2 linked regions of the Arabidopsis thaliana genome follow. The protein of the gene in region 2 interacts with the protein of the main gene of each other region in a pairwise test. Each region holds a gene or a part of one and is shown on either strand. Other genes may lie near its edges.

Region 1 (12,360 bases), 1.1 Mb from region 2:
TTGGTTCAGCTCGGCTAAGTGGATAAACCCAAGACTCTTCAAACGTATTTACTACGAAGACTGTCTCGTCAACAACAGCAAGCCTAAATTTGCCTTTTGGCTCCACTCTCTCTTTTCACTACCGCAACACTTTCCCTTACCAATCTATCTGCGGCCTTCGTGACCTGTTCTTAGGTGGTGGCTTTTTCTCTTGTTTTTTTTTATAGGATGAGATAGTCGAAACAGAGGGAACTTAAGAGGCCTTATTAGATACAGAAATATGAGATTAGTCATATTCATATACCATACCATCCACTTTTGTTTTTTGGTTCTCTTGGGATGTGAAACAGTGATAGATAAATGAATATATCAAAACTCTTTTTTCCCTCTCTATTAAGCTTTTCTCAAGACCTATTATTGTAACTGGAAATGGTCAAAACCCTCAGTCTCAGATCCTAGAACTAGCTTATTGGGTCAAGTTGATTGAGCCCTTAAAACCACTAAGAGAAATAACCTCGGAAGCAATCTTTGAATTTGAACATGGTCAGACTCAAGACACCATACCATCCTGTCATTTGTTCTCTAGGATGGGAAACTTTATGGATAAATGAATATATCAACCTATATTCCCCTCTATAAGCTCATCTCAATACTTATAGATATAGTAGCTGGACAATGTCAAAACCTCAGACCCCAGAACAAGCCTATCCAGAATATAACAGACCAATGAATGAGATGTTGAATATTCACTGATGGGGATAAATAAGAATCCAATGAAATCAAGAGATTGGGATGCGTAGTTTTTACACCATAAAGTAGAATTTCTCAATTAAATCCAAATCACAAACACCAAATTGAATTGTCATTCATAAAACGAGAATCTAAATCTCATGTGGTAGAGCTTAGAAGTAGAAACAGCTCTATCAACACACAGAGAGAATTGAAGAAGAAGATACAAACTTGGATACTTTTCTGGTTATTCCTCTACAAATGGTCTTCCATCTCTAACAATCTTCATCTCTTTCTAGCCAATCACTAATTGCCAACTCACAATTCACACCTCTACCAATCATAGTCTCACAAACTTCCAAGTCACTCTTTTCCTATATCATACCTCAGTTGCCTCAGGCTCTGGAGGTGGAGGTGGCGGCGGCGGCGTGGTTTGTTCTCCCATTTTTCCCCAAAGAACAAAAGAGATGCCAATGATAATCACGAAAGCTCCAATTATCCTGATTCAGCAAAGAAAGATGAGTTGAGAAGAGGACTACTAAGAGATACCAAGGATGTTAGGAAAGCACCAATGCTCACCTCCCGACAAACATCTGCTCAGAGAGTACAACCGAGCTAATGACCGCCGTGGCAATCAGATTGATTGGATTGAAGATACTCACCCTTCTTCTGTGCCATCCACCCAACAACGTAAACCGTTGTTGCTGAGAAACATCCCTGTACAGTGGAGAATGAGTTTCAATACAAATTGTATGACAACCAAATGACTTCTTGATTCAATTCAACTTACCCCAGAGACGCTAACACTGTCACATTTGGATGAAGTTTCAAGGCTTTAAGTTTATTTCTCTCCCATATTAGTGCGGTGACCGTTGATCCAACGCCCCGATGATGCAGATGAGAGCCGTCAGGGACAGTTTTGCCGGGTACGACACTACTACCTTGGCCTGCAAGAAACATCATATAGATTAAAAGGCCAGCCAACTTAGTAAATTTCTGTAAAGAAACATTGTGACCTTTGGGCTTTTTACCTGAAGAATAACATAGAAGCTCCAACTCAAGCAGCTGCACACTAGCATAAGCCCTCCTCTTAGGATGTCCTCATCATGTCTGTGGATCTTCTTTGCGTGCAGCAAGCTGTTCCATGGCAATGGAATCACCTGGCCTCTCCAAAATGTCATCAGCATTGCTCCAGCAACCGCCACACACGTTCCAAGAACTTTTGCTTTTCCTCGATGACTGTGAATAGCCACTTTCTCCAACCTTGCAAAAGGGTACGAGACATTACATGTTGGAACTAAAGTCAAAACACACATACTGATTTGATTATTACTCATACAGAACTAAATGTTTGAAAGAAAATAGAAGGCTACCTGAATATACAGGCCATCACAAATGTAATGGCCGGGAGTAGGTTGAACATTCCGGAAGTGAAAGTGGGCGTTGTGAGCTGCATGCCTGTATAGTACAAGTTTTGCTCCAATAGTGGCCTGTAAGAAAACATTTGATTAAACCTCTAATATATTGATGAATGTGATGATTCATACAAACTATAAGTAACTTACTCGAAAATGCTCATGATAACTATCTGAGCAAAGATTCTTTTAGTCAGGTCTTGTATTCCTATAGATTTGAGATTATTATTAGCACCAGAAACAAAACAAAACAACAAAAAAAACAGAGAAAACATACAATAAGTTATGGTTGGTACCTCTCAAATACTAAAGCAAGGGGTGATAGAATTGAAAATGCAATAACCAGACGCGCAGCAACAAAGATTCTCGGAGAAAGCCCGTAATCTAGAGCATACTTTGCAATGACCGACATTATGGATAAACCAATCTGAATTGAAACAGCCGCAACTACTGGTAGGATGTTATGATCATGGCTTCTTCTTCTTCTACGTCTTTTTTTTTTGGTTAAATTATATTCAAAAAAAAAAAAAAAAACGTTTTAGATCCGTTTTTCTTAAGTTTTTAGTAGAAATTACTTAAAAACCATTGCCTAGGAAAATAAAAATAGAACACAAAGCTTTTACCTGAGGAACTGAGTACTGAAAGCAGCTTAGTCTCGTGAAGCAAACCAGCCTTTGTCGACTGTCGTAGCGTCTGTCCTCGGTTGATTGAATTGTCCAGATCTGATTACGAATATATTTATCTATCCATCGGATGAGGTTGGTTGCAATTCCTGGTTGCACTTCTTCTTCGTCTTTTTCTTCTTCTTCTTTAAAAATAAAATAAAATTTAAAAGTGTGGTCTCAGTGGTGTTCGTCAATGGAGGAGGAGGTGCAGGAAGAAAATATTCTAAAGAAAATGCTTCCAGCTCGTTTTTACTTTAATGCTATTATAGTGTGTGGTTTTTACGCTTGTTTATCTCCAAGCTCCTTGTTTTGGTAATATGACATTAACGTCATTATGACTCTTTAACTACCAACTCATACAGTATAAATACCGTAGTTAGCTACTTATACATGTCGTATACGCTTATACTACTCAGATTGACCGGACGATTCGTCACCGGCTTTCGTGTCTAGGGTTTACCGACAGCTCTCTTTTTCCATTGGGCCCTATCATAATTTATCCATCAACAGCCCAATCTTTTTAGCGCCACGCATAAAGCTTGGCTCCCTTTTTTGGTTTTTTTTCTCCTCGTTTTAAATGTTAAAACTAGGTTGTTTTACTTGTGTTTTGATATTTTTAACTATTGTTTGTAGTACATGTGTTTGATTCAATTTAGTTTCATATTGCCATCTTTCTGCAATTCTTTTTTTTTTTAATGTAGATAAGTACATACCATTGTTATGACTTTTTTTAGTTTATGTTGGTATTTATAAGTAGCTAGGTTATGACTTGTGTCATATATCATGTGTTATTACATCATGCCTCTGTTCGAGACTACGTCGCCTTCATCCATCACTACTCTTCCTGTCTGTCTGATCGGAACCGCAACTCCATCCTCTTACCTTTTCCCAACCTAAAACAAAAAGAGATGAATTTTCTGTTCGAAGTGATGTTCAGAGTTCATGAATTCATTAATTACATTTACGGGCCAGCCAGAATTTGGCCATTTCGCAAATTCACCTATACTAAAACGGTGTGAAAGGAAGAACGAAAAATACAAAGGCACAATCTTTTTTAAAAATAGATAGATATATAATTATCTTCATCACACGTAACGTAATGGACCTAGTAACCTATACAGCTTCCATACATTGGGAAAGTAAGAAGAAAAAACAAATAAGGGACAAAGAGTTACTTGAAAAGAATTTATAGTTCATTTTCTACACATTCAAAGATGATAAATAACTCCACAGCTTAAAGGGAAGCTTTACTTTACTTTTAGCTTTCTTTTTTTGATTTTGTTTTCTTCTGTACCGGAAGAATTGAAACGATGTGTATGATAGATACATTGGTCTTCCTCCCTTCACAAAATGGTGCATGTGCAGATTACTGCCTTTGGTGCTTTATCAACCTTCTTCTCTGTTTAATCAAAAACCAGTATTCAACTGTTAGTTAGCTTTCATCAACAAACGTCTTAGTAATCACAAACTCACTTTCCACGACTTTCTCAAGTTTGTGAAAAAACAAATTATGCAGACAAATCTCAAAGACTGGCAAAAGTTTTCAGTGGGGTTTACAAGGAGATGACGACCAATAATGAATTCAGGTATTCCTTTCCTCATGGCATGCTTTGCTAAGCTTAGAGCTGATTTTTGCTTTATTTCACACAAAGAACACACCAGAAACCTAGGAATGAATTCTAGGGTATCCTTTACTCTCTCTCAAGACAAACAAACCAAATTTAGACAAAACCACTAATCACCTGATAGGTTGATTGAGTCAGTACCATAGGCTGTTAGAAAGAAAAAGAATGTACTGATCTTAGTCACCGACTAACTTTCTGATGTGCATGAACACTCTTACGAAATCTTACCAGCCTCAATTAATATAAGTATGACTAGAGCTAGATATTATAAGACGTAAAGTTGAGCCAGATAAATGAATACCATAATCCATACAGTTGACAAGATAAATACCACAAGACTAATGAAAGATTGAGGAACCTCTAAGGACACATATATCTCCATGAAACGGGAATTCTCTGATATAAAAGACATGAAGAACATTACACATAGACAAACAACTACCTGTTTTGGATTTAGCTAGAGAAGGCTGTACAACAACATGCATCACAATGACTCCACCAGCAATATCTCCAAATGGTGTCTTACACTGCCCAACAGTCTTGTTGTTCTCCAAGATCTTACCCGAGCTTATCAGCTTCACTTCGTTTATCCCCTTTGGAACAACTGTTTTGCCTAACCAAAACCACAAAAAAATTGATGCTTGGATCAACCTCAAATCACAGAGACTTGGCTTTTCTCATACATCAAGCTTATAACATCTCAAATGAGCTAATAATAATTCATCTACAGCTCTAAATTTCGAATTTCTACCGACAATTGCAGGATTCAGTGACAATCAACACGAAATTCGTGGGAAGATCATGAATAAAACCAGGATCAGATTGGGGAAAAAGGGGCACCGATTCAAAAAACCTTAAAACTAACCTTTGGGCCAATCAGAGACGACCCTCTGCTTCAAAAAGTCAACAGTAGAAGCCGCAGAATACCGAAAAGGCCCGATATCGGAGCCATCGTACAACCTGAATTTGATATCTATCGATTCTTCCTCCGGCATATCCGTTGACTTCTCTCTGACCTCCGATTACCAACCAAATTCCAGCTCCGATCACCAATCCCGCTTCTCAAACACAACTATTTCAGATCTGAAAATAGGTCTGAAAAAAAGTAGACAGGAACGAGAATCAGAGCTCGCTTCGAAACGGGATAGAACAAAAAAACAAAAAACAAAAAAGAGGAAGAATCAAACACACAGAATCGAAGCTTCCTCCGAAATCGTGTTTCGGATCTTTGATTTTGAGGTGTGAAAAAAGCGAAAGAAGGAAGAAGAAAGAGCTTGCTTTTTTCAAGAGTCACCAAATATCAAAGTTCCTTCTCAAGCCGACGGTTTTCACTTTTTTCCTTCCTTTTTTTTTTCCCCTTTCTTTTCGTCGTCACTTCTACTTCTTCTCAAGCCGACGTCTTCAACTTTTATTGTCCTAGCCAAAAACGCTGTCGTTTTATTCGAATTTACCTGTCTAACTGTTCCCACTTCCCACCATACTTTTTTTTTCTTCTTCTACAATAATATAATTCGTTCTGATTTTGGCAGTATTGTGTGGTTAAGACATCATAATTCTGATTTTAGTAGGGCTCCAAATCTTATACGAGTCGGCCAATATATAATATATTAGTTGTATGCAACAAAACAAAACGATGGAAACTTTCCAATACTTATTTCTACAAGTTGACACTTCTTCACTTGAACTCTTTTCTTTCACTGGAGTTGTATCCTTTAACACCACTAGTGCTCTTTTTATTTAGGTATTCTTTATCATTTTATATTTCATTATACATATCTTTAGATACTGCCAAAATGTTTTATTAAAAAGGAAGAAGATACATTCGATTACTTTTCTTATGATTCGAGTTATGCGTTACTTCTTCTCCCAGACAGCAAAGTCAAGGCCTGAATAAGCTAAAGCAAAATTAGAAGGAACAAGTGTTCCCACATCTTGCTTTGGTCCAATCTTCATGATAACTTTATCATCAATCATAGCCAAGTAGAGATCCGCCTCTGCCGCTTTTATCGTTACAGAGCTTGTGCTACCAATCCCATTTTTGTTCCTGATAGCCACCAGCTTTGAGATGCTCTCTTTTAGTCCCCATTCTATGTAATGATTATAAAACTGCAACAAAAATAACATATCAACAAGATTGTAGTTGTAAATAGTATAGCTACATACTAAAATGATACTTACAATGCAAGGAGTTCCTGGATGAGTAAGTATATAAACGTATCCAAGCAAGACTTTATCAGAAGGGAAAACCCACGTTCTGAATGTATCATGGTTATCTATGAATGTGACAGCGTTTCCGGGCATGATTCCTATCATACCAGGCGGTTTTCCCTGCGAGTCCTTTAGTCTCCAAAGCTCACCTTTGACAGCAGACTGTAAGATCCCTTTGGTGGTGAAATCAAAAGCTGTCAACACACCACCACCCGCTTCCTCGATCCACTGTTTGAGACCCGACCGATGCTCGTTCTGATCATAGTCTAGTTTCCCGTCTCCTCCGTACTTCATATCGTCCCATTTCTCACCCACCGCAAAATCCGGTGATGTATTCTGTGTATCCAAAAACAGAGGAATTTATCACATAATCAGTAGTGAACTTTCTTATATATTTCTTATTGATTGCATTGACTTATGTTTCTTATATACTAAATAGTAGTAAATAACCCTATCAACCTATGATACTTATATATACTAATAGTAAATAATTATCTCAACCTATGTTTCTTATATACTAATACTGTTGTCTGATATTTGAGAATTCATATGTGATTTACCTGAACGTATAATTTGGTGATGGAAGATGCATAACCTCGAACATAATCAAATCTCCAACCATGGAATCCGATTTCAGTTTTAAGCCAATTCATCCATTCGGACAACTCTTTCTGAACTCTAGGGTTAAGGTGGTCGATGTCGGGCGCTCCATCAAAATCTCCTCCGGTGTCGAGGTTTCCGGTACCGGGAAATTTAGGGTCATTGCGGCAGACAAAGGAAGGATCCCAATCAAGACGATCATCGGAAGTCCCACCTTCGAAATAACAGTATCCACATTTATCGTCTTTCCTCTCAGCTGTTCTGTGGTTAATCACTATATCAGCCAAAGCTTTTATTCCTTTTTGATTCAACGCTTTGATTAACGATTTCAGTTCCGCCTCTGAACCGTATTTGGAGCTGTTTAGATCGTATAGCTTTCCCGGTAAGTAACCTGAGGAATGAAGATTGCGTGAGTAACAAGATTGGTATGTGAATGTGTAAAGAGTAAAGCAGAAATGGAACCTTCAGGAGCAACGGATTGAGAAGGAGGAGGAAGCCAAAGATGAGTGATTCCAGCGTTGGCTATGTCGTCAATGGAGTTGTGGAGAGAATTGTAGAATCCTCCTTCTTTCTTCCATGACTCCCAATTGAAACTCTGTTTCACAATTGAAAGAAACCCAATAAGTGAGTGTGTAGAGTCTGTGTATGTAAAGAAGCAAAACTAAAGACGAACCTGAAACAATAAGGTGGAGGAAAACGTGAAGGTTGGAAAGACGATGAAGAAAAGAAGAGAAGAGAAGAGTAACGTATGGAGAGATGTCATTGTCTGATTGTGAATGGTTTGCTTCTTCTATCTGCTTTGTGTGTTTATATTGAGACCCTAAACCTTGTAGAGTTACGTAACCTAAACGACACGGCCTTGTCATATCTGATATATTTCTTCATCAGTCTATTTTTCTTGGGAATGAAATGTGAATACATTTACAAGGAGTTATGGCAAAAAATCTACTCTGTCTGATCCTAGCTCTAAAATGAGTCAAGTATGGTCTCCCTTTAGACCTCCATTTGTCACGTTTTGAGTGGACAATAGGTTGAGAATATTCTAGGGGAAAAAATGATATTTGGAGCTAATATATGTTGTTTGGGCTGTTAAAAAAAGTGATTGGGCCGTAACATTAACTTTTCCTAGAGGAATCATAAAACGAAGAGGCTAGAGTACTTGTTATTTATTAGACGTTAGGGTAAAATAGAATTGAGAAGTACTAGGTAACTCAATTCTGGTAGTCCAGATGAATTCTGAAGTATTGTCTACATGTGATGTACACCATAATGATTTTTTTTTAAAACATCTGACCTGTGAATGATCATGTTTATCTAACTTACTTTGAATTTTCATTTCCTTTTTAATTAGCCGGACTAATAAACTTTTAAGTATTACTGAGAACAGAGGCATCAAAAACTATTTTACAAAATTCTAAACGACGCACATAAATTTTTGAAGGATAGTACAATTTCGAGATATTTCGAAAGAAGATGATGAGAAAATAAAAGACAAATTAGGAAACCAGACTCAACAGTTCAACATTAAAGTCAATCACTAATTCATAATTGAAAACTAAATCTTGACTTAGTTTGGCATTTTCTTGTCCATCTGGTCCTCTAAGTCACCACCATGAGTTTTAATAGGATGACTCACGTCAGGATTAGTCTGCGGCTGAACCGTAAGATCACCAGAAGCCGGAGTAGATGAAAGCTTGACCATGTTGATGGAATGATCCGACACCGTTTTGGGCTTCTCTGTCTCATCAACCACTAGTGGAGTTTTGTAGTACTTGAATATGACGTATAGAATCATTTGGACTGCTCCGAGAAACGCACCCAATATATTTGGAAGCTTCAAATCATAAAAAAGTAATCACATCATCAGTAACAATCCCACTAATCATTTTTTGATAGGGAACAGTAATCCTATTAATCGCCGACAACCTAAAAAACTTTATATAATTGTACTCTCGGTTTCTTTTACGTGATCATATAATATATGATTGTAAGCATAAAGCAAAAGTAGCGTACGGCTCAAATCATTCATTCGTCGTCTTTAAATAGATGGAATTTGGGCAAAGAGACAAAAGGTGGTGGAAACTCTTTTGCCTTTAACATAAACCACACATAATAATATATGATACTATGTTTGAGCTGTCCATTTTCATATACTAAAGAAAAAGATTCACATATAATATAAGAAAAAAAGAGAGACTCACCGCAACGTAGAAGTCTTTAATAGCAAGACCGTAGAAGAGCCACGTAATGGCGCTGATTGTAAGAAACAATGATAGAGAGAAAGGCATAAACTCCACACTCTTTGTTCGTATCACCACTCTCTGCGTCATCATTTTATACAATTTCACATGTTAGAGAACTATATAATATACGTAAACATAAAGAGATGCTATTACCGGAAAAGGAAAGACAAATATTAGTTTCTTTGATTTTAGAGTATATTATATTCTCTATATGAATTAGCATGGCTCTTTTTAGATAGACAAACATTTCTTTTTTCTGAGTGCGTGTGATACATGTCACATAAGTATGTACGTACCATGATGCTCAAAGGAGCTGCGAAAACACAAACAGAAAATCCGACGCAAATCCCTCCAAGGACTTTCTCACGGTTCGATCCTTTGGTTAGGAGCTCGCAGACGAGAATAATAGCAGCAAAACCCAAGAAATTCAAGAGCCCAAGAACCTTCAAAGTTGATATCTACATGGTTTATCATCATCAGCTAAACCTGTATGTATGAGTGCATGTTTTAATATACCAAAAGAAATGGGATGGTTTAAACGTACTCTAGCTTTCTTGTTAGCATAGGTGATGAAGAGGATGATGTAGATGGTTTCGATGAAGCATCCCACAGCGTTTATGGTAATGAGAAGGAAGCCTGCTCCATCTTTTTGCAGAGCATAGTAAATCCATAGCATCGCGCTAAAGAGGGCTGACACGTAGGGAAGTGATTCAAAACCTTCTATCGATTTTTTCTTGCAGATTCTTACAAAAGTTGGCCTGAAAATAATGTCCAAAACATTTTTCTTTGTTAAGAGAAAGCAAATAAAAATAGAAGTGTACGTTTGAGATCGATGATGCTTACACTGGTGCCAAGAAAACGATGAACGATATGATGTTACCTACAAAAATACATATAGGTAAAGATAACAAAGTTAAATTTGATATGCACTTATAAGAACAATGATATAGTATATAGTTTTGTATAACTTGATGTTTATTTATGAATGCTTGAAACTTACCCAGGACTCCAAATGTAACTGCCAATACGTTGTGAGTGAGAACCATTTTGGTTATTTTGTGAATGAGCGAGCTCTTCAGTATCTTTCTACTTTTGAATGGGAGTGTCGGAGAAAACTAATAAGGAAACAAGAGAAGGGAAAATATATAGAGATCTTCGACTCTTGATTCCTCTATTTGAGTTTTCTTCGATATGAATTAACTAGCGAGGCCAATGGTTCACTATATATAGAGACATGGTAATATGTGTAATGGTTCCATGCTTATATGCTAGGGACGTCGTCGTTTCGTGGTAAAAGAGAGAGAAGAACATCGCAGATTGACGGTCTCAGATATTTCTATGGTTTTTAAAAATGGAAAATATTCGATAATTTTATGTGGTATGCACTCTTGGCGTGTATTATTTTGGTGTCAAACTTTTATGCCAAACCTTGGTTTATATTATTATCGTAGTCATTTAAGTGACCTTTCTTTTTCCTTTAAACCAAATAAAAATAAATGAGCTTTTAATATAGGCGTTACTAAACTGCAAAGAAACCCTTAAAACTTATTGGTAATTTGTTCCTTTGGCATGACCAATAATATAATTAAACCATTGATCGGCTGATAGCTTTCTAGCTAACCATCCAAATAAATAATATATTTAATTTTGATGGTTTTCATCATTGTATTAAAAAACGTAATCTAATTTTCCAATATTCTACCAGGACTCAAACTAGCTAATTAATTAGTTTAGATATTTGTTCTCCGTACACATGTAAGATATAACTACATCTTTTTGTTGCCATCATATAACTACGCGCGTTATGTAAACTATCCAAGCTTGCATTGTAAAATATATATACTATAAACACGTTTCAACGTTTTCTACTATTGATAATAACTAAGAAAAAAAAATTATTAAACACAACATAAGAATATTTTATAAAAATGCATCTCATTTTAAAAATAAAAATTCAATTCATGTATCACTTAAATTTAATACACTCCTGGAGCAAAAATATTGATTGCAAAAGTTCTAGTTCCCATTCCATCTCCAACCCGAATCGTTACATACCGAATTAAGTTCCATTAACCATGCGTGTTTGCTCGTTTTGTTCATCATACCAGTAAAAATGAACGTTTAGGTGTCCGCCACGTGTGACATATTTTATGTTGTCTCCGAGCACTCTTGAACTTCATGATTAGGCAGCCAAAATTAGGTCCGTAACTAATTTTATTTTATTAGCTCTCATAACAACAAATAATATCTTGTCCCTGTGATAATGTATATAAACGCGTCGAGAAGAAAGCAAACAATATAAATTGTATAAAACAAAGAATAGTGCGTTTCATCTTAGACGCGACTGTCGCGTGTGTAAACCGTATAGGGTAAGATTCACCATCATGCTTCTTGATGCTCCACTTGACTACTTTCATGTTAATCTTATTATCTACACAAATATTATCGTATCCAACACCAATCTTCAACTAATTTTAAAAAATCATGCTTTATATTTCTATAATAATATAATTTTATAACCGAACCAAAATTTTAACAAAAATTAGTAATATGCAACTAGTTAAGCTTTTGGAATTAATTATACTATGATATGTCTAGGTTGTAATTAAGCTTTAATTTTACCGTAATACAACTTCTCACTCCACTTATAGAGAGTAATTATACACTAGGGAAATGAAAGGTGGCATGTTAAAATGTTGAGTTAGAAGTTCAAGCTATGAATATTGTAATCAATACCACTACTTTGAGGGAGTATGGCCAGGTGATGCCTCATGACCGCCGTCAGATTTTTACGTGTTTTTATGTAAAGTATAAAGTGCAAAGTTGGTCAAAATGAGCTAGTCACAATTTACTTTCATTGTCCTTTAGCATTCCAAGACAGATTCTTAGGTAAATG
Region 2 (11,746 bases):
TGTATCAGTTTTACATTTTTACACCGCCTAACACATTTTAAAGTGACAATAAAAAATGTAAAACAACAAAAAAGTCTTTGTAAAAACTATATTATTTGTGAAACATATAAAAAGTAAAAATTTACATGATATTTTGGTAGTCATTATTGATAACGATAAGTAGAAACTATATATTTTAAAAATTGTTAAGTTATCTACTTTTTTTTTTTTTTTTGGTTTTTAAACATTCTCAATTCGTCAATTCGCAGTGATATATTAGCCACAAATTTTGATACAGAGAGGAGTGAATTACTAAACGGGACGCCGCATTCATATAAGCAAATCGCATGATGACACCTGTACAAATGAGATATTTTTCTTCTTTGAGATGACTATCTTTCTGCTGAGTCAGCAGCGCGTGGCTTCTAATCTCGAAATCTACGATGCATATCACGTGACCCCAAGATACCCGGTCCCAGTTTTATTTTAACTGCTTTCATTTTTTGAAAAGATATCTACTATTTTGTTTTTGTTTTTGAAAATGTTTTAGTTACAGACAAATATGTTTTTTATATTATTGAAGATTAAAATATTTTTTAAAAAAATATGATGACTTCACCCAGGTTTGACCGACATCTGTAGCGAATTCGTTTAGCTGTTTCGTCCCATGCATTCATTTCTTATGAACAACCTGTCACGTGATGTGTTTTCCTAAAGTGCTTATTCAACAGTAAATATACTATTTGAGTAAATGCTATATTTATGTTCCAAATGAGTAAATTCCGACCAATGTAAAAAGGGAATCAATCTTTATTTTCCAGTAAGAAAATATATTTGTTTCTGTTATTATATGATTCTATTTTAAGGAAAAACTGTTACAAATTATTCAGTAAAATCCTCTCATTTCCAGTGAGATAAGTAACGTGGCGGGCAACCTAGGATTTGGCGCTAATTTTTTTTTTTTTTCGTTTCAGAGCTTTCATTTTTGAAAATATGAAAATTCAAAAACTTGAACTTACAAAAATTCATCTCTAACCGAGTTCTGATTTAGTTTAGGGTTGAAAAAATCAGTTGAAAATTACAAGTCATTATGAAACCAAAAAAAAAAACACGAGATTTTTTTTTGTCAGGTTAGTCGGACGAGCATCAGAATAGTGCTAACTAGAAGCAGAGAGAGAGGAAGATCGGTTAAGAAAGGTCGTGTGAGAGAAGCCAAGGACGATTTGATTCTGAATATCCAAAGTGGGAAGAAGAGAGAGACATGGAGAATCCTTTGGATTGACAAAAGACAAACCCCGAGGTTTAGTGCAGTGTTCTTGGCCACTGTCCTACATTGAGCCAAGTGACCAATCCACGTATATTTTATATATGCGTCTATTACTATACGAACCATATTATAATACGTACATGTGTGTTACTAAAAACGACAATTAAGTGACTACATTGAAATTTAGACAAACTGTGAATCTTGTTTTAGACTTGGGTTGACCACTTTCTTTTTTGGAGCGATAACAACTTCTCACCAATGACTTTTAATAACGACTGGGTTGAAGTAACAATACCCAACCCAATATTTATAACTTTTTGATATTAACATCTTTTTGTTGCCATTCACCATTAATCGGTGACATGTGACAATAAAAAGAAGATTGCGTTACAGATTTTGTTGAAAGCTAATACAATGTGTCATGTGTGCATATATAACGTGTCCATCTACGGTTATGAACGAAGAATCCAAATAGAAGAAAGAAACGAGACTTGTTGGTAAAAAATAAATTTAAGGACAAAGATCCATTCTTAAAAGAAGGGCCACCCCTCAAAATAGCAAAACGTTGAAAGCTTTATCACCATTAGTTACTTATATAATAATGTGATGTACGTTGGTCTTGGTGCATAGCTTTAAATTAAAAATGAGCTCGAACTTTGATGGACAAATAAAGACTAGAGAAGGTCACCGCTTGAGTAATTACTTCTCATAACCAAGTTTATGATAATATAAATTAACGTGTGAGTTTCGAGTTTTCCCAAGGTAATGTATGTCTTGGAGCAGAAGCTACATGGTCGCGCGACTCGTGAGTACTACTCAAGTCATTCTCGTGGACAGCCTTAGTTTACAAGCAAGAAATGTTGGTCATATATCTAATAAAAATAAAAATAGCTTACATAGATACTTGGAATTTGTTCGCGAACATTAAATTCATCAAAATTTTATAATAAATATATGTAGTACATTATAGGAATATATATGTAAATGTATAGGTAAAAGTAAAACTATAGCTTTTAAAATAGCCTAAATTATTATTGGTTATTGAAAATACACTAAATTGAAATCTAAATGTAACTATTTAAAAATAATTTATCGAAGTTCCATTATAATTATTTTTATTCATATATAAATAACTTTTTTATGTACAATTCAAACTTTTAACAATTATCGTAAAAACATTTATTCATTAATATTCTTTAAAATTACTCTGTAGAAATAAGTGCCCAACCCAATCGATCATTTGAGCTAAGCTCTACCTTACTAGCGTTGATAGGAATAACATGTTAAATGAACCAAAAGGAAACTAAAAGTTAAACCAATTTGTTTAGGATCTGGTGCAAGACAAATTGTCTGGTTCGGAGAGTTTGATTTTCACGGTGAAAATTTCACCGAAACCTTTTAGTACCATGACTCATGGCACATGAATCGTGACTCCTCTTCTTACCTCCACTTGTCTTGACTCTTGAGACCGCTGAAGTGTCCACTGTAATTTTAAGTTTTATTCAACGCAAAAGGTTTTGTTTAAGAGATTTGATTCACGGCAATATTAACATTAGTGACTGGTCATTAATGCCATTTAGTGGAGGCCACCAAAGGTTACGATTCTCTAATTTACTAAAGACAAAACAGGGGATCTCTAAGATCAGGCTGTAACTAAGTTATTTTCTTCAGTTCTAATTTAAATATTTAATAAAAACCTGGCGTTAACCATGCTCTCTTGGGCACGACCTCTCTCTTTATCATAATTAATAAACTTTTTTTTTTTAAGTTATGGAGACTTTGAACATAGATTAAAAGTAGTCCAGTCACTGACAGAGTGACATTGTATAAGTTTTCGGGGGTATTGAAGGGATATTTAGTAAGTAAACCCTTCGGTCGTTAGACATAAAAATTAGAAAATTTATGGTGACTCTTAGAAAGTACTATATTCTGTAATAGAGAACGGTCCATGCTCGAATAGATCGTGTAATGGTTATTTGGGTTGCACTTTAACAAAAACAATGGTTTTAATTTGGGTTGCAACGGGTGTTAGTCTGCCTTTAATTCTGGAAAGCTGATATTCTGATTTCTTACAATAATTTTCGTATTTTTAGTACATGAAACATTGCCGTTGGTGGGTTAATGTAATTGATATATTCTTAGTGGGATTAGACGTGAATCTTTTCTTTTTGTGTAATAGTACTACTCAAATTTGTGAGATAGTTTTTAGAAAATCTGTTGAATCATGTAAAAGGTCGAAACTAGTTGAAAGACAAATGGTAAGATAACTTATAACTCTAGTTTTAACGGCTTTAGCTGGTTGGAAACAGAAAGTTTTACTGCTTTCGTTCTTTCTAATATGTTTAGAGATCATTAAATTTCGTACGTATGAGTATTCATATACGAATATAATTGGTTTATGTAGAAGTGTAGAACACAGTAATGTAGTGTTATGCTGTTAGGTTTTACTATATAAACAATTTCTATTCATGATACTATATACCATGCATACATATCTATTACAATTACAGATTTAACATAGAACTATTATGAAGTAAAAGACAAGATTATTCAATGCAACTGCTAACCCACACTAAGACCATATATGATGCTGAGTTTACATGTGCATCTAGTGACTAGTGGTAGTTTAAATGCTTTAGAAGGAAAAGTATACCATTCGGTTCTAATAGTATAATTTATTTACAAGTTTTATCAGTAGTAGTGCTCGAGTAGTGAAAACACACATTTAAAAACTTATTCGAATGGACTTGGAAGCCTCGGTAAACCCAAAACTCAAAATATATAGAAATACAAGTGTTGGAGTTTCGAGAAAGAAAATAAACTTTGATTTGAATCTTAAGATAAAGAGTTTTAAAGATTAACATGAATTGATCAAGCGTCCACTAGCACTTTCATTAAGCAAAATATGCATTCATAACATTTTTTTTTTATAAATCGTCAACAAACTAACGTGAAATTATAAAATCATAACCTTAATCTCAACATAATAAGCCCTGATTACTGCTTTAAACCTCGCCAACCTCATAAGCTCCCAACCTTAACAACAACATGTGTCCATCGAAGAGGAATCTAATTCGTGGGATAAACATTATGTTAAAATATACTATACTCCATCACTGAAACAGAACCTTGAACACAAAAGTGTCATAATAGTTGGGTTATACCATAAAAAAGTAACCGTTTTTTCAAGGTCTTTATACCATAATGTTTAGTAGCACTAATGGCTAAACCCGTTTGAGTATATTATTTGGGGAAAAGGTGATTTTAATAGTTTTACTATTTTTTGTAAATCTTAAATTGGTCAAACTTCAAAGTGATAATTCCTTTGTCCCATTTTATTAAATTGTTCCAGATGGATCACAATCACAATCTTAACTCATGAACAACTTCACTCTTAGGCCCCATACACCATTTACATAAATCATTGCCCACATAATACTAAAATGAAAATGTTACGTATGTAAGTTAATAATGTTTACGAAAACGGAAAGGCTTACGATTGTAGCTAGTTTGGGCTTTGGACAGAATAAAATCCAAAATAATATGAGCCTTGATAAACACAGAGACGCATCGGCATCACGCAATAAAGAAACAGCAGACGGGATGATGATTTACGTTTTACAATTCCATAGAATGGAGATCAAATAATTTCTTACTGATCCTGTCTTCACAAATTTTATAAGACAGACAAGTCTATAAAAGATCATTACATAGAAATAAGAAGAGTTTAATTATTAGGGCTCTTCCTTAAGGACAGTATTTGTGTCAGCCCATGGCATACTTTTGGGTCCAGGTCCGAGCAGTGGACTCGTACTTGTTCTTGTCTGTCTTGTACATGTGAGCTATCTCAGGGACCAAAGGATCATCTGGGTTTGGATCCGTTAACAAAGAACAGATCGATAGCAGCACCTGTTGCACCACACAAAATTGATGTCACCTGGAGAGCAAAGCTGCAAAATTATGGTTCTAATATGATAAAGATGAGGAAGAACAAAAGAAAACCTTGGAAATTGTGAGAGCAGGACTCCACTGCTCCTTCAAGATGTCGAGGCAGATGCTTCCATTGCTGTTAATGTTTGGATGGAACACCTTCGTCCTAAAAGCCACCTACATTTTTTGTAACAACATACATAGAGAGCAATGAAATCAAGAACACAGAGAAAAGAACAATAGATAAACGATGGAAGATATTAGCAACAGAAAAATGATGGCCGAAGTAAAGTTGGAAAAAAAATTCAAAGAAGAAGAAGCAGCTGTAGAGATTTGAATATACCTTAGGAGGCTTAAATGGGTAATCTGGAGGGAAATGGATGGTTACAAGAAAAACTCCTCCAGAATAAGGGCTATCCGATGGACCCATTATAGTGGCCTGCCAATGAAACATGTCTTCCGCAACGGGTCCTGTCAACATTTAACCAAAACTTCAATACCAAACCAGAAAAGCAACAACATGCATATAAGAAGAAGTTGGTAAAAGGGGCAAAATTAGAAGAGAACAACAGAGTTATAATCCTAAGATCTCATCCAAGGAAATCAAAAAATGAAACCAGATCTATCAACGAGCAAACAAGTTTGAACATTGACCTTTATGATTCATTCCTAGAAAAATCACAAACAAGTGTTACCATGAAGTATGCAAATTTCTGTTATTAGCAGCTGAATTACCTAAAAATCAAGGATAATTAGATCTAAGCTAACGAGAGATCAATATCAAACCGTCGCACACATAAAAAACCAGCTCAAAAGAAGATCAAAACCAACGACCCATCATTATCCAGCAAGAGGAACATAATTATTGAATCAAAGTTGATAAATCGACTAAAAGAATAGGTACCTGCGCTACATGAAGTAGGAGGATCCTTCTGCAGATCCTTCAATTCCTTCAAAATCCGTTTCGATGCCATTTCCAAAATCCCACGATCCAAATTCCAATTGAAGACTCTGCAATCGAAAACCAATCCAATGGTCAGATGAATTAAGAAGAAGAAAAACATAACCCAGAAAATTATATATAAAGACGGGAAGAAGATCCAAAATCATAACTCCGAATTCACGTTTTTGGTTTTGGTTCTTCGAATTTAGGAGAAGAAAGGGTGGTGAAACGGAAGAGAAGAAGAAGTTGAAAATGTTGTGTGGTCGCGACCACAATAAATAGGGTGCGGGTAAATTCTGGTTCGTTTGATTAGTGGACTCTGCTGCTTTATTCTTTCAGATTCGTTCGTTTTAAATAATGTCAAACTTTTTTTTGGGTGGGCCTAACTCAGCGTTGTACCTACGGCACATATAAAATAACGCGGTTGTTCGTATCATCATCATGTGGCGCCGATGTTTTCCAATCCCGTCGAAGCGTCGTCGTTTAAGTGGTTTAGTCAAAAGTCGTATGATCCGACGGCTGAGAGTTTTGTAGAACGAATCATTTGACGTAATTTGAATGAATTTACCATGCTTTCAAGATTGACCAGCGGTTGATGAAGGATGTTTTTTTTCAAAAACGTGATGTGTAGGAAATTATTACATTGTTTTTACTGTCATATGTCATATGTGACAAGACGATTCGTTTTGGTGACAAAGTATAAAGATGGAGGATGAATTAACATAACAGTGACATTAAGATATATTCGACAAATTAGATGTTAAGCTAGACATTATTTCCACGAAATATGATCTAACTTGTTAAGACAAATTGTGAAGGTTGCGGTTGGTGTGACTAAGTTTGCCTATAACTCAAATAGTTTTTACTTGAATTGAATCAAACAATACTATAATAACTAAATCTAACGAAAGAATAAGCCAAAGTGATTATAGTTTTTATATTTTTGCTGAAATGAAGAAGTAATTTATCATGATCAGTAAAAAGAATGGTATGCAACTAAAATTTACCAAAATAATTAAGATTTTCGCTAATTTATTATTATTAGCACTGCTATAGTGTTGTACATGAGAAGTTAATTAACAAAGATCATGAATTTTCATCACATTTTTTTTTTTTGTTAATTTGAATTCTGAACCGTGGAACTATCTACATTTACTAAAGGAGGAGATTCTAAATCTATTTGATTATCTTCCGGATCCAAAATCTTGGGACATCTCTCATTATTTCCATAACTTTCTTTTGTGAGATGTTTGAACCATCTCTTCTGCTTCGGTTGTTCTGCACTTATGGCAATGACAACGTCATTGGGGAAGAGATCACGTTGGACAAAAGCATGCATCACCGTCAACCCAAGCACAGCTATCACCGTCAGAGTTGCTGCTCCCGACATCACAACCGATAGTATCTTCGTTGCCACTCCCGTGACTTCGTCTGAATATTTGATCGTCGCACTGGCCACTGCCGTCATTGGAAACGTGTAAGCCCACCAAGCTAGCGAGAATCTGATATTTTTTGAATAATTATGTCAGATAACATGTATGTTATTTGGTTTGGTAAATTAGATCCTTGCAGTTCAAGAAACAGCTTACTTGAATCCCCGGAAAAGGTTAATCCGACAAACCTGAAACAAGAATCACAAGAAGTAAAGCTGTTACATTTCTTGTACCACAAGAAACTCAGCACTAGCTCACTAGAACTCTGTTAATGAAAACAAAAACTACCAGAGAGAAGTACAAGAACAAGGAGATGAAGTATGCTAGACGCGAACCGAGATCGAAAGAGGCAGAGATCTTGGTCCAGGCCATGGAAGCGACGGCTGGTGCAGCCACAAAGAGGAAGAAAACAGGGTGAAGCTCTTTAGGTAAGGTTTCATTCGTGGGAAGTCTCTGATAGAGAGTCACAAATAAAACCAAATAATAAGCCAACCCTATGGCAAAGAAGAATATTGGTCCTTCTTTCAACCCCATGGATGCTCCTAGAAGTGCTCCTGCAAAGTTACCGACAATGGAAAGGTGGTTTGTAGGGTTGGCGACTTTGGAGAGGCGTCTTTGTCCACCAGACATCCACTGTCCGTAAATCTTCATCTCAAGAAACAAGATGGGAGCCATAAGGAAGTACCAAAGTGTAGAGGGAAGATGTGAGATGATAGAGTGTGGGATTCCAAGTGCCAAGAAGAGGATTGATATAAGAGGAGCGAAGAAGAAGTTGACTCGGATCGGATGCCGAAACTCACGGCGAACCGCCTCAAAGAAGAGGATGGTTTTGAAGAGGTAAGTGATAGAAACGGCGAGGAGGAGAAGGAGAGAGATCCACCAGAGCACGTGGTTGATCACTTGAGTCACGTGCAAGAACTTCTCTGCCTCTGTGGTTGCTAAGGTCTTCCACATGATGGCTTGACTACTTACTCCAAGACACATCCCATATGATGTGATTGGAAACCGTAGAAGAAACGGCCACGTTTTGTCCTCAGGCAGAACTATCTTCTCCTTCTCCTGTCATCCACCAATAAACCCATAAATAGAAGTAACCAAACACAAGTATAACTCAACCATATGAGCAAAAATGAATGATAAAATACCTTGAGAGTTTCAAGCTCGGGGCCTTGAAGAGCATCAAAGTATCTATCAGCGGTTAAAGATTCAGTAATCTCTTTATGATCCTGCAACGAACTCTCAGTGGGTTTCCCACGTAAATTCGATATCTGACGTTCGAGTTTCCCGGACATGGTCCTGAATAGGTCATACCTCTTGTCGTGGAAGTTTCTAGATGCTTCTTGATCAAGAAACATGGCACCTCGGGGCATAGACTTGGAATGAAACTTCATCTTCCTCGCTCCGATTCGTTTCTCTAATCTTGAGAAATCTCCAGAACCGGATTGACGTTGGTTTTCTAATAGATCTGAGTGGTTTGCTGGAGAAACCAAAGGACTAACCGATCTTGGATTATTCATTGTTTTCCCTGTTTTAGTACATAAATTTGGAACTATATTTATAAAGATCCAAATATATAAAAACCGAATCAAAACGTCACATCCAACTTTTGCAAATGGGTTAGTTGTATATTATTGTTAACATATTACGAAAACGAACATGCAAACCACACACACATACATAAATGTATATATAAACTTACAGAAAATGAAGAGAAAGTGATGGAAAAAGAAAATGTAGATCTGATCAGTGTTTGAAAAGAACAGAGGATCTGATCAGTCGGTGTGACTCTTTTGTGTATGTGAAGTCAAATAAGTCCTCTGAAAATGGTATTTTGGTAAATATGTGGGCCAGAACCAAAGATATTGTGTGTTTTGGCTTTAGTGCTGTCCAGATAAAGTATCTTGTCTTTCACTTTTTTGTTTTTATTTGAGCAGTTTTGTTTTGACCATTACTTCTTGTCTCTCGAGTTATATTTGTCCAGTTACATCTTAACCGATATGATCAAGTGATGGACTCCAATCTGAAGGTAGTCCCAGGCTATTGTTAAAGGCACTGTTAATCCATAAATACAAGGACAACGACCGTAAGAATACATTGAAATTGAATCGTACAAAAACGTTCGGATAAAATATGCAAACAAGTAAAAAAGACATATATAGAGTAGAGATAATGTTCCTCGGAATGTCCTAGTGGACTCGAAAGTCAAGGAGTCAATAAAAGAGGCGGCTTTGCACTCTCGTTTAGTCGCGTCTGCGGATTTTTAGTATCCGTTCCGTACACTCGTCAATAAAATCGATTATAGAATGTTTTTCCTACTACTGTTTTGCCATCTTGAAAGTTTAGAATTATAGTGATAGTAATTTAAGAAAATGAGGTTCTGTAATTTGTAATATTGGGCTGATTGATTCCTTTTTTTTCTTTCATAAACCTTTTGATGGGCTAACAAAAATCATCCTACGAAGCCCATTTAGCTGATCCTTTCACTTTCACAAATCTCATGATCTTTATCCAACGCCCAACGGGCTACAACAAAACCCCATTGTCCGAGAGTTAATAGAAAGCTGACGTCTGATGTACAATAATCCAACGGCTTAAAATAATACAATCGAACGGCCAAAAAGGAAAGCTGTATTTATAAGGTAATAAGACAAAATAGCACTAGTTTCTCTTTCTCCCTCCATTTTCAGTAAATAAAGCATTCTATTTTTTCTTGTTTCATAAGAGAGATGGGAAGAAGCCATTCTTCTTTACCAAAATTTCTGAGTCTTACCAAGAAAGTTTAAAACTTTTCTTCAAATTCCTGGATAAGCTCAAAGGCTCCGTTCGTACAGCGAAAAAAATGTTGAAACCGAAAGTTTTACTAGTTCCCGGAGAAGACACGCCGGCTCAGAAACCACCGTTGGTGTCAACCGAAGACCAAACTCAAGAGAGGTTTATTTTCTCTTCCTACTTTTTGTTTCTATTATTTATTCTTTCTGTACATTCTCATTTTTGTATTTTTTCATGAAAAGTTTCTTCCTTTATGACCCATCTTTTGTTAACTAAAAAGTAGGGTTTATGTCTCTGAGAATATGGCAATGCAAGGGGATTCAGTAGAATCAGACGTTACTGAGCAAAACAGTGAAGGGTATCTCAAAATCCTAGACAAGATTCAGGCAAAATCTTCATCAATTTTTGAGTTTTCGCTTCAGTTTGATGACGTGGTCGCCTCGCTGGAGAAGAAGGAAGAACGACTGAGAGTGGTTGAAATGAAGGAGAAGGAGATTGGTTTGCTTGAAGAGTCAATATCTCGAAGGTTAAGTGTTTTAGAGGAGAAAGAGATTGAAACTGATTTGAGATTGGTCATTGAAGCAAGTATCATGAGATTGGTGCTTGAGAAGCAGAGTGAAGATTTAGTGACACAACTTAAAACAGAGGAGAATAAGCTTGGTTTGTTTCTCCGTTCGACGACGAAGAAACTTGAGGAGCTGGTGAGTGAGTTTGATGGGAGGAAAGAGGAGGCTTGCCGAGTTTCTGAGAAGTTGTGTGAGTTAGAGAAGGCAGAGAAGGAGTTTCATCTGAAACAAAGAGCTGAGACTGAGAGACGGAATGAGGAAAGTGAGGCAAGAGAGAAGGATCTCAGGGCACTTGAGGAAGCTGTCAAAGAGAAGACTGCTGAATTGAAGAGAAAGGAGGAGACTTTGGAGCTGAAGATGAAAGAAGAAGCTGAAAAATTGAGAGAGGAGACTGAACTGATGAGAAAAGGTCTTGAGATTAAGGAGAAGACATTGGAAAAAAGATTGAAAGAGCTTGAATTGAAGCAGATGGAATTAGAAGAAACATCAAGACCACAACTTGTAGAAGCAGAGTCTCGGAAGAGATCCAACCTTGAAATTGAACCTCCTTTGTTGGTAAAGAATGATAGTGACGCTGATTCTTGTACTCCTCAAGCCAAGAAACAGAAGTCTCAGGAAGCAAATGATGGAGACATTGAAGGAATTGTCTGCACAGATAAAAGTTATGAGGATCCTAACTCATTAACTTGTCCTGATACAAAGCTTAATGATTTTAGCAAGTCAATGAGCTCATTTGCTGTTGATCAAGTATGGGCTTTATATGATCCTAGAGATGATATGCCTAGGAACTATGCCCAGATCAGGGAGATTTTTGAGTCCCAGTTGAGTTTGCAGGTGACACTACTTGAACATGTCAAAA

Evidence for each region.
Region 1: the proteins of UBC9 (region 2) and ATGP4 interact in a two-hybrid assay, tested with the Arabidopsis thaliana proteins (one study listed by BioGRID).

Annotation. Positions count from the first base shown.
Region 1 is NC_003075.7:12,845,842-12,858,201, forward strand, and holds ATGP4 (Ubiquitin family protein), read right to left. Parts: upstream 5,970-12,360; 5' UTR 5,605-5,969; exon of another isoform or gene 5,509-5,604; 5' UTR 5,409-5,508; coding exon 5,279-5,408; intron 5,027-5,278; coding exon 4,856-5,026; intron 4,188-4,855; coding exon 4,132-4,187; 3' UTR 3,810-4,131; downstream 1-3,809. Other genes in the region: UMAMIT16-psi (nodulin MtN21 /EamA-like transporter family protein), read right to left, coding at 956-1,003, 1,094-1,208, 1,288-1,425, 1,511-1,557, 1,740-1,971, 2,082-2,198, 2,420-2,535; AMY1 (alpha-amylase-like protein), read right to left, coding at 6,268-6,519, 6,592-6,957, 7,182-7,612, 7,684-7,816, 7,895-7,984; SWEET14 (Nodulin MtN3 family protein), read right to left, coding at 8,789-9,055, 9,423-9,542, 9,761-9,922, 10,009-10,222, 10,308-10,344, 10,465-10,510. UniProt on the Arabidopsis thaliana protein: May serve as docking site to facilitate the association of other proteins to the plasma membrane.
Region 2 is NC_003075.7:13,911,054-13,922,799, forward strand, and holds UBC9 (ubiquitin conjugating enzyme 9), read right to left. Parts: upstream 6,448-11,746; 5' UTR 6,241-6,447; coding exon 6,081-6,240; intron 5,648-6,080; coding exon 5,520-5,647; intron 5,354-5,519; coding exon 5,249-5,353; intron 5,156-5,248; coding exon 5,012-5,155; 3' UTR 4,478-5,011; downstream 1-4,477. Other genes in the region: SLAH2 (SLAC1 homologue 2), read right to left, coding at 7,237-7,621, 7,709-7,740, 7,841-8,611, 8,698-9,069; AT4G27980 (trichohyalin-like protein (DUF3444)), read left to right, coding at 10,392-10,483, 10,602-11,746. UniProt on the Arabidopsis thaliana protein: Accepts the ubiquitin-like protein SUMO/SMT3 from the E1 complex and catalyzes its covalent attachment to other proteins. Mediates the selective degradation of short-lived and abnormal proteins.